Linked DNA regions of Caenorhabditis elegans. The protein of the gene in region 3 purifies or fractionates together with the protein of the main gene of each other region. This does not show direct contact. Each region holds a gene or a part of one and is shown on either strand. Other genes may lie near its edges.

Region 1 (4,020 bases), on a different chromosome or scaffold from region 3:
AACAGCATATTTGACGCGCATTGCTCGTCAAGTTTGATGCGTGCACACTATTTTGCTGTTGTTTTTTTCTTTTTTCTCTAAATTTTCTTTACGCTTTCGTAGTTTCTATAGAAACGATTCTCCACTCCCGGTTTTCTTCCGATTCTCAAAATTAATTAAAATTTAGTTATTAAAAATCCTTTTTCTTGAAATAATCGTTCAATTTCGAGTTTTCAAGAGTGGAGACGTTGAATTTGTGAGCCGCTTATTTTTTCTGTGTTTTTGTTTTGTGGTTTTTAATCAGTGTCATAATCATACTTTCCATTGTTTCTTTATTATTCAAAGTTGTAGATTCAGTATTTTAGATCGGTGATGTTTATGAATCTTCTCACTCAGGTCTCCAACGCGATTTTTCCGCAGGTCAGTGCTTATCCGAAACATTCGTCATTCGCAACTTGGGCCTATTTGATCTATGGCGTTGTGTTGTTGCCTTTACCTTAATTATCATCATTTTCATCAGAAACCCACAAAAACTAGAGACATAGCTACAAAATTCTGCGACCGAGAGGCGGGTACACACACAATGTTGTCTATTTCATCTCGCTCCACCTTCTCTCTCTCTCTCTCGTGTTTACCATTTCTTTTTTAATTTTGCATCTATCGACTGTGATCTGCCTGTTTTTTTCTAATTCTAAACTTTTTGCCGTGATATTCCTTAGAGTGTTCCCTAGAAAATTCGTTGAATTTACAGGTCGAAGCCGCTCAAAAAATGTCGAACCGTGCTGTCGCTGTTCTTCGTGGAGAAACTGTTACCGGTACTATCTGGATCACACAGGTTAGCCGAGTTTTCCGCTTAAATCATTTGTATTCTTTTTCAGAAGTCCGAAAATGACCAGGCAGTTATTGAAGGAGAAATCAAGGGACTTACTCCCGGTCTTCATGGATTCCACGTTCACCAATATGGTGATTCCACCAACGGATGCATTTCTGCCGGTCCACACTTCAATCCATTTGGAAAGACTCATGGTGGACCAAAAGTATGGAAATTTTTTATATCGCTTGAATTATAATATTTTTTCAGTCCGAGATCCGTCACGTAGGCGATCTAGGAAATGTGGAAGCTGGAGCCGATGGAGTGGCAAAAATCAAGCTCACCGACACGCTCGTCACGCTTTACGGTCCAAACACTGTCGTTGGCCGATCTATGGTTGTTCATGCCGGACAAGACGACCTCGGTATGAACAATTCGAATTAAAAATCAATTTAGTAAACTTTCCAGGCGAGGGAGTCGGAGACAAGGCAGAAGAGTCCAAGAAGACTGGAAACGCCGGAGCTCGTGCTGCCTGCGGTGTCATTGCTCTCGCTGCTCCCCAGTGACTACCTGAATCGCGTCTCTGAATCTCCACACAATTCCTACTAAAGACAATTTTTCATTTCTTGCTTTGTCGTTATATTCTTAAGAATCCCGTTGTTCCTACTCCTACTACTGTATATTTTCACATAAAATTTCTTCAAAATTTCAAATAAAGGTTGTAGTTTCCAATTTCTATGTTTTACAAATCTCAATGTCTCTGCTCATTATATCAATACTTCACTTTTCAGTTTTGTTACCAAACTGCCATAAATGTTGTGCCAGCCGTTAAACTATCAACAAGTTCTGACGGAGAAGGGCGATTTTTCGAGCAGTTGAATAAGAATCACCTGATAATGAGGCTATTTCAAAAAACGTTTAAATATTATCGCTTTTCCCTTATTTAAGGCAGACAAAAATCTTTGAAAATATAATAATTTCTATTTTTTAATGCATTTAGTAAATTTTATTTCGAGGTCGTTCGTTTCAATTGGCATTTTCACAATGCTTCTCTTCTTTTTTTATCAGTTCAATTGATAGCGACCCGTAAAAGAAAATCACACCATTTTTATAATAGTGGACTGCAAAAAATTCGTTTCTTTCTGAATAGAGCCAGTTTTTGTGAAAATTCCTTTTTTTCAGTTTATATAAAACCTCAATTTTCAGAATGAGTGGGATTCTGGAGGTTTATGACGCAAAGCGTACGGACAATCTCATCATCACCCTCGAGGGAATTTCTGGATCCGAAACGATCAAAGCTATCAAGAAGCGAATTGCCCAGAAAAGTTTGTGAATCGAAATTTATGATTTATTAGCTAAATAATTTCAGAGCTGAAACTCACCGAAGAACGTCAGGCTCTCCGTGTCGAACCAAAGGGTAAACCATTGGCTGATGACCAAAAACTCTCCGATCTTGGACTTTCATCTCAAAAAGCAGTTTTATATGTAAGAGATCTCGGACCACAAATCGCCTGGAAGACTGTCTTCATGGCTGAGTATGCTGGACCTTTGTTCGTTTATCCGCTTTTCTATCTTCGACCAACTTTCATTTATGGACAAGGTGAGCCGGATTAATATTATTTCACACAATATCTTACATTACAGCCGCTGTCAATGCTACCATGCATCCAGCAGTACAAATCGCCTTCTTTGCATGGAGCTTCCACTACGCCAAGAGATTGTTCGAAACTCAATTCATCCATAGATTCGGAAACTCGACTATGCCACAGTTCAATTTAGTCAAGGCATGTTTCAAAAATAAAAATAAAAACAATTGAGTAAAAAGTAATAAGGGACACTAATAGTAAGTTGCAAAAGTTGCGTTGATGAAAAAATTATTTTACGCTCTACGGCAATTTTCAATCTGAAATATAGCAACAAAAAAAAACTAGTAAAAACGTTGAATATGCCTAAAATTCAAAGTTAGAATATTTCGTACAACTTTAGGTAGTTTTAGTAGAGAATTTTGAAACGGACAAGATTAAAAATAAAATTCACTAATCGATAAACAAATTTCTATTTCCTGAATTTTCAGAACTGCTCCTATTACTGGGGATTCGCTGCCTTCGTCGCCTACTTTGTCAATCACCCACTTTTCACACCACCAGCTTTCGGAGATCTTCAGGTTTATTTCGGACTTGCCGGTTTCGTGATTTCGGAGTTTGGAAATCTCTCGATCCACATTCTTCTCCGCAACCTCCGTCCAGCTGGAACCCGCGAACGTCGTATTCCAAAGCCTGATGGAAATCCACTTTCTCTCCTCTTCAACTACGTTTCGTGCCCGAACTACACATATGAGGTCGCATCATGGATCTTCTTCTCCATTATGGTCCAATCTCTTCCAGGTAAATAAAAAACTTGTAAATATAATTGATTTTATTCATAATCTTAAAATTTAGCAATCATCTTCACCACCGCTGGATTCGCTCAAATGGCAATCTGGGCCCAAGGAAAGCACCGCAACTACCTCAAGGAGTTCCCAGATTACCCAAAAAATCGCAAGGCCATCGTTCCATTTGTTCTCTAAATTATCGCATTTGCGCCGAATATTTATTGTATTTTTCATGTACTCTTGCAGTTCTATTATTACCAATCCGCTTATTTCAATCAGTAATTTATTAAATAGACAATTTCTCCAGATAAATGTTTGCTTGAAAAATGTTGCAAGTCTTGGTTGGTGAAAAAAAAGCGTTAATAAAAGAGAAAAAATGTTTAAATAAAAATAACGTGATATTGTTTTTTACATCGAAAATTTAAAATGTTCCCGACTTCAATGTAGAAAGAAGATTATTTCGAAATATTTCAAGTTATCCAAAGATGTCAATTTGGTGTGCAGTTTGCAATGATTTAAAACCATGTGAAGAAGCAACTCAAGTGAGATTATTGCATTATTCTCAGCCATACGGATTCAAATTTTCCAGTTGATTCCCTGTTTGCACACATTCTGCACAAAATGCCTCAAAAAATCAACCAAAAAGATGCGTGTCTGTCCAGTTGCACATTGTTACTCGAGTCTTACAGCTCCTGAACCAATGACAAGCACTTGCGAAGTTAGTAATTACAAAGATTCGAACTTTTATGACTTTTCCGCCAAAGATACGGTCTCGAAACGGCAATTTCGTTAATTTCAAGTTGGTGCGCGTCTTTGAAGGGTACTGTAGTCTTGTGAACTCTCGTTGCCACGGAATTTG
Region 2 (4,991 bases), 2.3 Mb from region 3:
CATTTCAATCCGCTCTCCACTGGCGCCCCGCTATTTCGTCATCATTTTTTTGCAATCGATGACTTGTCCACCGCGGTGTCCGATGTTGGGCTATGTTGAGAGAGCGCGCGCGCTCGTGCGTTCTCGGCCCTATTTGGGCTCACTTTCGTCTCTGCTCTCACCGCAATCGTTTCGTTCTCATATAACAATTGTCTTTCTCTTTTAAAACTTTATAATTTTCTTTTTCAGAAAAGAAAATGCGTGAGGTCATCTCTATCCACGTCGGACAAGCCGGAGTCCAAATCGGAAACGCCTGCTGGGAGCTCTACTGCCTCGAGCACGGAATCCAGCCCGATGGAACCATGCCAACTCAATCAACGAACGAGGGAGAGTCGTTCACCACTTTCTTCTCAGACACCGGATCCGGCCGTTACGTTCCAAGATCCATCTTCGTCGATCTCGAGCCAACTGTCGTTGACGAGATTCGCACTGGAACCTACAAGAAGCTCTTCCATCCAGAGCAGATGATCACCGGAAAGGAAGACGCCGCTAACAACTACGCTCGTGGACACTACACCGTCGGAAAGGAGCTCATCGACACCGTCCTCGACAGGATCCGTCGTCTCGCTGATAACTGCAGTGGACTCCAAGGATTCTTCGTCTTCCACTCCTTCGGAGGAGGTACCGGATCCGGATTCACTTCGCTTCTTATGGAACGTCTTTCCGTCGACTACGGAAAGAAGTCCAAGCTCGAGTTCTCCATCTACCCAGCTCCACAGGTCTCAACCGCCGTCGTTGAGCCATACAACTCGATCCTCACCACCCATACCACCTTGGAGCACTCCGACTGCGCCTTCATGGTCGATAACGAGGCCATCTACGACATCTGCCGCAGAAACTTGGATGTTGAGCGACCAAGCTACACCAACCTCAACAGAATCATCTCCCAGGTTTGTTGAGCTCAATTTGATTGTTGTATTCTAATGTTCTCTTTTTACAGGTTGTCTCCTCAATCACTGCTTCCTTGAGATTCGATGGAGCCCTCAACGTTGATCTCAACGAGTTCCAGACCAACTTGGTGCCATACCCAAGAATTCACTTCCCATTGGCCGCCTACACTCCACTCATCTCTGCTGAGAAGGCCTACCACGAGGCTCTGTCCGTCAGCGACATCACCAATAGCTGCTTCGAGCCGGCTAACCAGATGGTCAAGTGTGATCCACGTCACGGAAAGTACATGGCTGTGTGCCTCTTGTACAGAGGAGACGTCGTTCCAAAGGACGTTAACACCGCCATCGCTGCAATCAAGACCAAGAGAACCATCCAATTCGTCGATTGGTGCCCAACCGGATTCAAGGTCGGAATCAACTACCAGCCACCAACTGTTGTGCCAGGAGGTGATCTTGCCAAGGTGCCACGCGCCGTCTGCATGCTCTCCAACACTACCGCCATCGCTGAGGCCTGGTCTCGTCTCGACTACAAGTTCGACTTGATGTACGCCAAGCGTGCCTTCGTCCACTGGTATGTTGCCCGTTAAACTATACTTTTCAAATATTCAATGTGTTTCTTTTCAGGTACGTCGGAGAAGGTATGGAGGAAGGAGAGTTCACCGAGGCTCGTGAGGACTTGGCTGCTCTCGAGAAGGACTACGAAGAGGTCGGAGCTGACTCCAACGAGGGAGGAGAAGAGGAGGGAGAGGAGTACTAGATGCTCCCACAATCAACTGCCTGGCGATTGACTTTTAATTTATTACTGCAGTTCGATCGTCATAAACAATGTATTATGAAGTATTTTATTTATATAATGTTTTTTGTTAAAAAGAGAAAGAATGAAAGTCGGAACACTTTACGTTTATACCGAGTTGAGTGCCGCAGAGCAAACATGTACAAGCCGACAGTATTTGAGCAGCAGACGCTTGTTCTGCTCATCGATCAGTATTAGATTACAGAAATGGCTGGGCATGTGAATGGAACATGTGCTCCAGTGATTCCAAAGGTTGGTGATGAGGAAGACGGTGTCGGGCAGTTGGTGGCAAATCTGAAAGAGAAGGGAACAAATTTTGTTCTTTTGAAGAAGACTCCACAGATACTTGAATTGCAGACAATTTTGAAAGATAGGTATGAAGTTTGACTGGGAATAGACTGAAGCCTCAAACATTTTATGGGTGAAAATTTAAAGAAAGGGGCTGAAAACTCATATTTCCAAGCTCTTTTTCCAGATTTTGCGGAAAAATTAACGATTTTCGGTATTTTTGCCGGAAAAACTTGTTGATTTTAAATAAACTCCTTTTTTGCCTTAAAAAGCGATTTTCTTGGAATTTAGATTTTAAAAATCCGTTAATTCACAAATTTTCGGGTCAGAAACGGCATTTTAAGCGATTTTGCCAGTAAATTAGGAGAAAAATAGAAAACGTTTTCATTTTTTGGCCTTTTTGCCGTGAAATTAACTGAAATTTTGATTAAAAAACGTTTTTTTTTGTTAGAAAACATGAATATATTTATTTATATAAATGAATTTTTCAAGGATTTTCTCGGATTTTGAGTCAAAATTCCGATATTTTCATAAATTTCCGGGTCCGAAACGGTATTTTTCGTGATTTCCTCGCAATTTTAGAAGTTTTCCTTGTAAAAATTGGTTGAGGCTCAGAGAATCTTGTAGTTTGTAGTTTGTAGCCCCATAGCCTCAACCATCTTCCAATTTCCAGATCAACAAATCACTCGGATTTCGTATTCAACGCGGATCGTCTGATGCGGCTTGTAATTGAAGAATGTCTCAATCATCTTCCATTCACTGAGCACACAGTTACCACACCAACAGGCTTCAAATATGAAGGAATTCAATTTAATCGTGGAAATTGTGGAGTATCGTTGTGTAGAAGTGGAGAGGCGATGGAAGTTTCATTGAGACAGTGTTGTCGGTGTATTCGAATTGGAAAAATTCTGATTGGTACGGGAAATTGAGGATATCGAGAGGAATTTGGGAAATTTCCTAGAAAAGGCGAAGAAAATTGAGAAATATAGAAGAAAATGGCGAAAAATCACCAAAATCATTGCGATTTTCATCAATTTCTCCCTGAAATTACCTGGAATCTCTTATAAATGCAGATTTCTGCTTGAAAAATGGAAAAATCTGGTGAATATCCAGTTTTTATAGATTTTCTCCTGAATACCCCTCAAAATCTGTGAAAAGTCTGACTTTTCCTTCAAAAATACCTCTAATTCGTAGAGAAACTCGTTTTTTCAGCCGAAAAATGTTTTTTTTTTTAAATCTGTAATAAATATGTACTGTTCTTATGGTAAAATTCCTGAAAAATATATTAAAAATATATATAATAGTAAAATTTGCGTTTTTACCCAGAAAAGTGGTAGAAATCGTGAGTTTTACTGAGTTTGTCGAAAACTGGCGATACTTTTTTAAAAGAAAAACCTCAAAACTCGCAAAATTTCCAATTTTCATCCACTTTTTGTTACAGGCGACGAACAAAAAGTGCTCTACGCCAGGCTTCTTCCGGATATCACGTCGCGTCGAGTTCTACTGCTCTACCCAACGATAGGGTACGCTCAGAGACTACAAACTACAAAAAATATCTGGCCGAAATAAATTTGATTGAAAAATCTGAGAAAAAAAACACAAAATTTAATGTCAAAAAATCGATTTTCCCGGCGAAAAATCGTAAAATTCAATAATTTGTTTGACGTAGAAACTTTAAAAATGTCGATCACTAAAACTTCCCCAGAAGGCGAAAAATTGTCTAAAAAATTGAGTTTTTTTTTGTGCAAAAAAAATCTTTTTTTGAAATTTTTTTAACTGAAGAAACATTTAAATTTAAAAAATCACATTTTTATCAAAATTTCCAATTTTTCAGATCTGGGACGACAGTTTGCAAGGCAATTGAAGTCCTAAAAGAGGCACGTGTCCCAGATGAGAATATCTACTTGGTTTCCCTATTCATCTCACCGACTGGACTCAAGAATATAACCAGAAAGTACCCGTATATCACTGTCGTCGCCTCCGATATCACATCTCTCTATCCAAATCATTTCTCAACCAGCTATTTTGGTGCTGTCTAGACTAGTTTTGTGTAGTTTGTAGCCTTTTGACACTACAAACTACATCGTTTCCGTTTCAAATGCAGTATTTTTATTCACTTTTCTCACTTGATCATCTCTTCATTTCTCGTTATTGGTTTGTAGTTTGTAGTTATTGTAGTCTTCTTTTTTACTTTTTCACTGTTGATTTCCCCTATTTTTTTTTGACAAAATGTTCATTGAATTTCCGCATAACTAAATTCTTTTGTGTTGTTTTCGGTTCATTAAACATTATTTTAAGATGCAATGACTACGGTAGTCATTTTCTGAGTACATGGTGTGCGTACAGGGCGCTATATTTTACGCGCAAAGTTGAGAGTGAGATTTTTCCTCATTTTTTGGATTTTCACTGCAAATTTAAGAAATTTTACGAAAATAAACGTTTTATTTCAAATTCTATTTGCTACTTTGCATGCAAATTGTTTTTTTTTCATTATATTCTGAAAATAAAATAAGTTAAAATTAGCCGTTTCAAAAAAAGTTTCCGAAACTACGGTAGTTCTCGGAGTACGCAACTTGCGTACCGGGCATCTCATTTGACGCACAGAATTCCTAGTTTATTGTTTTTGGATTTTCAAAATTTCAAACATAGTTTTTGCATTTTTCCTGTCGTTTTTGTGATTTTTATTTGTGAAAATTTATTAGACAGAAAAGAAATTTTCAGTTTTCACGAAATTTACTGGAAAATTTGTTATTTTACCGTTAGGTAACGTATTTTACAAAGATATTTCACTTTATCCGTATTTTCTTATTGTTTTCTTCACTTCAAACGATTGAAAACTGAATCAATCAAATAAATTTCCTATTTTTCAGGTAATTTGTCAAAATGACTGGCTCATCTCGTGGAATTGTCGAAATGACAAAGAAACTGGATCGATTAAATTGTTAGTGTTAAAATGAAATTTGCATCGGATTCAGTTTAAA
Region 3 (7,896 bases):
GTGGATGTAACCAAAGAGCCGATTCCAGTCATTCCAACTGTTCACTACAACATGGGAGGAGTTCCTACGAATTACAAGGGACAAGTTCTCGATTTCACACCTGAAGGAGGAGATAAAGTGATTCCAGGACTCTATGCCGCTGGTGAATGTGCAGCACATTCAGTTCATGGAGCAAATCGTCTCGGAGCAAATTCCCTTCTAGATTTGGTTATCTTTGGAAGATCTTGCGCTCTCACGTTAGTTTCATTTATCTGAACAGGTTTAAACTAAAGATTTCAGTATCCTTAATGAGAACAAACCAGGAGATTCAATCCCGGAGCTTCCGGTAAATTGTGAAGAGAAATCGTGTGACAATTTGAACGGACTTTTGCACTCAAAAGGAGATATTTCATCTATCGAATTAAGACAAAAGATGCAAATGACAATGCAGAAACATGCTGCTGTTTTCAGACGGGGCGATCTTTTGAAGGTAAGTAAATACAGATTTATTCTATTTTCAAAAAATATTGGATATTTTCAGGAAGGAGTCGATAAAATGTCCTCCATCTACAAAGAGCAACAAAATTTGAAGGCGTGTGCCGACTCTGGAAAAGTATGGAATTCGGAGCTTGTCGAAACTCTCGAGCTTCAGAATTTGCTTATCAACGCCAATCAAACCATCGTCGCCGCCGAAAATCGCACTGAATCTCGTGGAGCCCACGCTCGTGATGATTTCCAAGAAAGAATTGACGAATATGACTACAGCAATCCACTTGAGGGACAGCAGAAAAAACCGTTTGATCAGCACTGGCGCAAGCATTCCATCATCGGTATCGATACGAAAACTGGAGCTGTTGATTTGACATACCGCCCAGTTATCGACAAAACTCTCGATAAATCTGAAACCGACTGGGTTCCACCAAAGGTCCGATCGTATTAATTCGTTGTTTTGTTCTTCTTTGTTCACATAATTGTGTTCGAGCTGTATGTTTTTTTCTTTTGTGTGAAATTTATTTGTTTCCTGATTAGAATAAAGTTTATTGAATTTAATAATATATCAATTTAAGCTTATTTAAGATTTATTTCTGGTTTTCAATCCACAAATATTTGCAAATGTTCTTCAAAATATGAAATGTGCAAGTGCGCTCCATGGAAAATCTCTATTTTACGTCATTGTATGAAGGAGTGTTGGAACAAAATTATTCCGAATTCGTTTTGCTTTAATCTTTTTGTATTTTTATAACTGAATTTGATTTTTAATTATTACATAATTAACCATGGACGGAATGATTGCAATGCTCCCTGCTCCACTGCAGAAACTATCGTCGCATATTGATTTTCAAGGACAGAAAGTCGCCGAGAGAACTTACCAGGTAACAAACCACAATTGATTGACTGAAATTACATAAAATAAAGCAATAAAATTTAGGTAATCCTCACTATTGCTGGAATTATTGGCTTCCTCGTTGGATTCTGGACTCAACAGCTTTCATATGCCATGTTCACAGTGCTGGGAGCATCTGCGTTCACAGCTCTCATCATTCTTCCACCATGGCCATTCCTCTTCAGAAAGAACCCGATTGTGGTGAGAAAAAGTTACAGAAATCGTATAAAATGTTTTAATTTTCAGTGGCACACACCTGCGGAACCACAAGAATCTGGAGACAAGAAAAAGGAGACAAAGAAGACGAAATAAATCGGCAATGATGCAAAAACTAAAGAAAAACGTTTTACTCGGGATCTGGTCAAATATTTATTTTAAATTAAATTATTTATGAGCTCTTCTTCATTTTTCTGTGTGATATAAGAATCATCTTCTGAACCATAATAAATTCATTTTCAATCTACAACGATTTTAATATTTTATTGACGTTTTAATGCGACACATTTTACTTTTTTATTCTGAAGTCTTGAATCCTCCTATCCTACTCCCCGTTCAACAGAAATGTACCGCGCTGGAGCGGTTTTACTCCGCGGGGCAACTCGCACGCGGCTTCTTGCCGCTGCTTCAGCACATCAAAGCTTTGCCACATTTTCTCAAAGAAATCAATCGATTTTAATGATGAAATCTATGGAATTAGCAGGAAATTCAGGAGAAAGGAGGTTTTATTCCACTCATGACGATCCAATCGCTGTGGATGACTCATTGGAACTGTACAAAGATTTGGTAAGTTTTTTAGAATTTCAGTCATTAAAAGACGATTTTAATTGATTTTCAGGGAGGAATGTCACCGATTCAAGTGCCAGCCGATATGCCAAATGTCCCAATGTTAGCTATCAATCGATATCCACTATTTCCAGGATTTATCAAGAAAGTTGATGTGAGATTAGATAACGTATTTGGCGGAAAACTGAAAATTAAAATTTCAGATCGTGAAAGATGACAATTTAAAAGCACTGATCAGGCGACAGCTTTCACTGAAACAGCCGTATGCTGGAGTTTTTGTGAAGAGAGACGATGAGTATGTAGTTTTTGAATGGATCTCTTCTTGACTTAAAAATGGAACAATCGCCGAAAAACTAGTCATGTGTTGATATACGGAGCTCGTGTACTCCCCGAGGAAATGCTTTTACAGTTTTTGCCTGATATTTTTGATTTGGAACCATTTTTGTTATTGGAATCATCAAATAACAGAAAAAAATCAATCTTCTATATACCGACTATAACTTCTAAAAAATTTATACACTTTTTCAAAATTGTTTTGTATTTTTTTCAATTTTGCAACAAAAAATGGATTAAAATTGCTGAATTATTTTTGAATTCCCGCGCAAATTAGTATATTTTTTTCCAGAAACAAAGAAGAAACGATCACATCTCTATCAGAAGTCTACCCAACTGGTTCTTTCGTTCAAATTATCGAAGTCCGTGATCAGGGAAGTGTTCTTGAGCTGGTACTCAGTGCTCATCGAAGAATTCGTGCTCTTGAACCAATTGACGAAATTACACCGAAAAATGAGACTCCATTGAATGGAAGACGTGCTCGTGGAAAGCGTGCAGCATCAGCAACATCACCACTCACTCCACCACCATCACCACCTCCACTTGCACCTTCAGTGGCTTCAGTGGCTCCAGAAATTTCAGCAACAGAAGAGAAAGAAGAGAAGACAACACCACCATCAGCAACTGGAGAAAAACAGAAAAAAGGAATTATTATGGTTCGAACCGAGAATGTTGTTGCAGAGCCAGTGCCCAAGAATAATGAAACGAAGGCTACGATGATGGCCATTGTGCAGACGATTCGGTAATATCAAGTTGCGATTATTTAGCCATTTGTACCTCAATATTACGATACCCGGTCTCGACACGACAAACTTATTGTAATCTAAAAAGGATATATCCCTTTGAAGAGTACTGTAACTTCAAATATTCGTTGCTCGGAAATTTTCATCGATTATCATAAATTCTCGTTGAAAATTATATACATAAGATTAAAAAAAAATCGCAAAGTTCGAAAATAAAATCTGTGTCATTACATTTATAAAAAACTTGTGTGTATTGTGTGAAAAGCTATGAGAAATCGACGAAAATTCCGAAAAAAACAATAGTTTGAAATTAAAGTAATCTTTAAAGGCGCACACTTTTTTGAATAACAGGAGAAATGCGACCGGGTACAATAAAATGTATATTAATCATTTTGAATCGAAAATACGGAAATAATCTGCAAAATGTTATGTATTTTACAATGGCCAAAAGTAAAATCGAAAAAAAAAACGAAAAAGATTGTAGTAAAATTATTGAAAAAAGGATAAAACTATAAATTCAACAAAAACTGTGTATATTTCGAGAAAAAAATATAGAAAATTTGCATTTTTTCCCCTGCAAATTGAAAAAAACCTTGATTCCGAAAGTTATTTTTTGATTTTATGAGTTTCCAATTTCCTAAATTCAAATATTATTTCAGAGATGTAGTACAATTCAATCAACTCTTCGGTCAACAAATCAATCTTCTACTTCATCCATCTCAAAATGTAATCGATAATCCAGTTTATCTATGTGATCTTGTTGCAACTCTTGTACAATCTGCAGAAACAAAAGATCTTCAGGAAATGATGGATGAAATTGATGTAAATTTAAATTTAAATTTTTTTAAATGAAAATAATTATATTATTTTTTTAGGTTTCAAAGCGACTCAAAATTGCTCTTCTTCTGATTCAAAAGGAGAAAGCAGTTGCCAAATTGAAGTATGATATCAATAAAGATGTTGAGAAGAAGGTTCAGGATCATCATAGGAAATACTTGCTCAATGAGCAATTGAAAGTAATCAAAAAGGAGTTGGGAATTGAAAAGGATGAGAAGACGACTATTATTGAGAAAATTGATGAAAGAATCAAAACATTGGCAGTTCCAGAATATGCATTGAAAGTTATTAACGAAGAAAAGACAAAGTTGCAGTTTTTGGATCCGCATTCCAGTGAATTTAGTGTCACGAGGTAGATATTGAAAATTATATTAGTTTTATAGAAAAATATATATATGCATTTAAAAGGCTAAAAATGCTCGGAAAAGTAAACTTTTTTCCAATTTTCCAATCGAATTTTTTTTCGAATTCTTTTTCCAAAAATCAAAATTTCTCCAAAAGCTTCCGGATTGTTTATGAAGTGTTCAGAAACCAGCTCCTGGATGTCGTGAAAAATTGAAATGTTTTTTTTTATCGAAAAGTTGACAATTCGACATTTCAATTTAAAAAAATTTCAATTTTCCGGAATATAAAAAAAAATAATAGTTCAGAAATTTTAAACTTTTTTATTAAAACCCCAAAAAATTGTTTAAAATTAAACGAAAACTCCAACTTTCTAAATTTCTATTATTCACTTTTGGTTAATCTATTTATTTTAATTTTCTTCAAAATGAGAACTACAGGATCGACGACCAGGAACTCCGCCCACTCCTTTTGATTGGTTCGCCGATTGGTCTTACAGTTCTCGTTTTGAAAGAAATTCAAAACTGAAAAATATCATTTTTAAGTGCATTTTTTCCTGAATGTCAGACTATTTTAAATGTTTTAAAGCAAAAAAAAAATTGAGTTCCGTTTTTTTTCAGAAACTACCTGGAATGGTTGACATCAGTACCCTGGGGACTTACATCACCCGAGAATCGTCGTCTTTCAGTTGCAAAGAAAGCTCTTGATGAAGGACATTATGGAATGAAAGATGTTAAAGAACGAATTATGGAGTTTATTGCAGTCAATTTACTTCGAAAATCAATTGGTGGAAAGATTCTATGCTTCCATGGACCACCTGGAGTTGGAAAAACTTCTATTGCGAAATCAATTGCGACTGCCTTGAATCGAGAGGTTCAGTTTTTTTTCCTAAACTTTCTCTTGTTAAAATTAAATCTAACATTTGCAGTATTTCCGTTTCTCAGTTGGTGGAATGACTGATGTGGCAGAAATCAAGGGACATCGTCGTACATATGTCGGTGCAATGCCTGGAAAAATGATTCAATGCATGAAGAAAGTGAAAACTGAGAATCCTCTTGTTCTTATCGATGAAGTCGACAAAATCGGCGGAGCTGGATTCCATGGAGATCCCGCATCGGCACTTTTGGAACTTCTTGATCCAGAACAAAATGCGAATTTTAATGATCATTTCTTGGATGTTCCAGTTGATTTGTCTAGGTTTGAAGATGCTTCTCCTCTTGGTTCTATAATTTTATTTCTAATTTTCAGAGTTTTGTTCATTTGCACGGCAAACGAGATTTCAAAAATCCCGGGACCACTTCGTGATCGAATGGAAATGATTGATGTTAGCGGTTATTTAGCCGAGGAAAAAGTTGAAATTGCTCATCAACATCTCATTCCTCAACTCAGAAAAGACACATCTCTCGCCACAGAACAACTGAAAATTGAAGATTCTGCGTTGGAAGAGCTCATTAAGCATTACTGTCGTGAATCTGGAGTCAGAAATTTACAGCAACATATTGAAAGAGTATGTTTTGGTAAAAACAGGACGATCCGCGAGACCCGAAGAACTCGGGGGATGTCCAATTGGGGGGATTACCAACTCGGGGGATTGGCCCCGCCCACATAACCGTGGCTTGCAATACGCCCATTTCTGCAACTGCCGCACGGTTTTAAAACTGTATTTTTCTCAATAGAGCGAGAATTAACAAGAAAAAATAATTTTTAAACCGTGCGGCAGTTGCAGAAATGGGCGTATTGCAAGCCACGGTTCTGTGGGCGGGGCCAATCCCCCGAGTTGGTAATCCCCCAATTGGACATCCCCCGAGTTCTTCGGGTCTCAGATCCGCGCCTCGAGTTGATTGTTCTGTTTCGACAATTATATTTAGATTGCTTATAGAAATTACCTTTTTTTTCCAGATTTTCCGTAAAGCAGCTCTTCAAATTGCTGAACAACAAAACGAGGATGAGGAGCCAGCCGAAAAAGCAACAACTGCTATCACTGAAAACTCAGAAGCCGAACCAATCACCTCTACATCATCTGCAGATTGTTTAAAATCTTCAGCCGAACAAATTGTAGTTTGCACAGAAAACTTGCAAAAGTTCGTTGGAAGACCCAAATTCACATCAGATCGAATGTATGAAGTAACACCGCCTGGAGTAAGCGAAAAAACTGTTTTAAAAACTTAATTCACGTTCCGTTCAGGTGATAATGGGTCTCGCATGGACAGCAATGGGTGGATCTGCACTTTATATTGAAACTGTATTGAAACGACCTGTTGATTTGACAAATGATAAGGATGGAAGTATTGAAACAACTGGAAATTTAGGAGATGTAATGAAAGAAAGTGTTCGAACAGCGTTGACTGTTGCAAAAGGAATTCTTGCAAGAGAGCAACCCGATAACAAATTCTTCGATAAAGCACATATTCATATTCATGTACCCGAAGTGAGCTTAATCTTGAAATAATTTCAACTAACCAATTCCATTTTTCTAGGGAGCAACACCAAAAGACGGACCATCTGCAGGAGTAACTCTTGTCTCAAGTCTTCTTTCACTCGCTTTAGACCGACCTGTTGTGCAGGACATGGCGATGACTGGTGAAATTTCATTAACCGGAAAAGTGCTGCCAGTTGGTGGAATTCGGGAAAAAGTGATCGCGGTGGGTCCTCTGTTCTTTTTTCGTTCAAAAATTTCATTTTTTTTCAGGCTCGCCGTGTCGGAGCAAAACGAGTCTTCCTTCCAAATGAGAATCGTCGAGACTTTGATGATTTACCAGAATTCATGAAATCAGAGTTGGATATTCGATTCGTTTCGCATTATGATGAGCTCTACGAGCATCTCTTCCAATAATACGTGTCCCTTTCTTTCACCCCCAGTTAATACCTTTCAGATAGATTTTGTTGATTCACCTAATCCATTTTTTCTTGTTTTGTTATTTTAAAAACGTTTTGAAAAGAAAAAAGTTCAGGCTATAAACATTTTCCTACTTTTATTTTTGTTTTTTTTTTAATTTTAATAATCTCAAGTTGTTTGATCTTTTCAAATATTTTTCATTTAAATTCTAAATAATATTCTCTTTATTTAAAAACCATTATTTTCAGCTTTAGAAATGGCAATTATCGAAGAAATTTTCGAGGATGAAGAGGATCAGATAACAAAAGTGGATTCATTGAAAAAAGAAGGAAATAATTTCTTTGCGAATGGAGAATTCGAAAAGGCGAATGAAAAATATCAGGTATTGGAATGTTTTGCAAACGTGCGGCGCGGTTTGAAGCTTGTCGATTTACGCAGGATTTTGTACTACACGTGGACAAGTATTAATTCAATTTTCATATAATTTTATAGTAAAGAAAACAATAATTTGAAAAACAAAAATTTTGATTTTTAAAAATATCGAAAAATTACAAACAAGAATTTTAGCTGAAAACTACACAATCATCTCAAAAAAAATCCCCACTTGTCCGAGTGTAGTACAAAATTCTTCGTAAATCTACATGCATACAACGCGCCGC

Evidence for each region.
Region 1: the proteins of lonp-1 (region 3) and art-1 purify together in Caenorhabditis elegans (affinity purification with mass spectrometry, with the first as the bait; one large-scale study listed by BioGRID). This does not show direct contact.
Region 2: the proteins of lonp-1 (region 3) and C47B2.2 fractionate together in Caenorhabditis elegans (co-fractionation; one large-scale study listed by BioGRID). This does not show direct contact.

The regions. Positions count from the first base shown.
Region 1 is NC_003280.10:6,970,212-6,974,231, reverse strand, and holds art-1 (putative very-long-chain enoyl-CoA reductase art-1), read left to right. Parts: upstream 1-1,996; 5' UTR 1,997-1,997; coding exon 1,998-2,115; intron 2,116-2,159; coding exon 2,160-2,390; intron 2,391-2,434; coding exon 2,435-2,574; intron 2,575-2,864; coding exon 2,865-3,174; intron 3,175-3,228; coding exon 3,229-3,356; 3' UTR 3,357-3,487; downstream 3,488-4,020. Other genes in the region: sod-1 (Superoxide dismutase [Cu-Zn]), read left to right, coding at 352-399, 731-814, 858-1,016, 1,061-1,214, 1,259-1,356; C15F1.5 (RING-type domain-containing protein), read left to right, coding at 3,647-3,703, 3,751-3,879. UniProt on the Caenorhabditis elegans protein: Catalyzes the last of the four reactions of the long-chain fatty acids elongation cycle. This endoplasmic reticulum-bound enzymatic process, allows the addition of 2 carbons to the chain of long- and very long-chain fatty acids/VLCFAs per cycle.
Region 2 is NC_003279.8:12,961,509-12,966,499, reverse strand, and holds C47B2.2 (Phosphoribosyltransferase domain-containing protein), read left to right. Parts: upstream 1-1,920; 5' UTR 1,921-1,929; coding exon 1,930-2,096; intron 2,097-2,683; coding exon 2,684-2,925; intron 2,926-3,451; coding exon 3,452-3,533; intron 3,534-3,844; coding exon 3,845-4,049; 3' UTR 4,050-4,458; downstream 4,459-4,991. Other genes in the region: tba-2 (Tubulin alpha-2 chain), read left to right, coding at 237-929, 980-1,500, 1,554-1,686.
Region 3 is NC_003279.8:10,676,401-10,684,296, reverse strand, and holds lonp-1 (Lon protease homolog, mitochondrial), read left to right. Parts: upstream 1-1,922; 5' UTR 1,923-1,924; coding exon 1,925-2,146; intron 2,147-2,198; coding exon 2,199-2,300; intron 2,301-2,349; coding exon 2,350-2,441; intron 2,442-2,771; coding exon 2,772-3,221; intron 3,222-3,881; coding exon 3,882-4,044; intron 4,045-4,097; coding exon 4,098-4,411; intron 4,412-5,021; coding exon 5,022-5,274; intron 5,275-5,329; coding exon 5,330-5,598; intron 5,599-5,649; coding exon 5,650-5,908; intron 5,909-6,300; coding exon 6,301-6,540; intron 6,541-6,586; coding exon 6,587-6,829; intron 6,830-6,878; coding exon 6,879-7,043; intron 7,044-7,090; coding exon 7,091-7,234; 3' UTR 7,235-7,375; downstream 7,376-7,896. Other genes in the region: sdha-2 (Succinate dehydrogenase [ubiquinone] flavoprotein subunit, mitochondrial), read left to right, coding at 1-236, 280-469, 521-919; spcs-1 (Signal peptidase complex subunit 1), read left to right, coding at 1,257-1,352, 1,409-1,564, 1,610-1,675; ttc-1 (TPR_REGION domain-containing protein), read left to right, coding at 7,494-7,619. UniProt on the Caenorhabditis elegans protein: ATP-dependent serine protease that mediates the selective degradation of misfolded, unassembled or oxidatively damaged polypeptides as well as certain short-lived regulatory proteins in the mitochondrial matrix.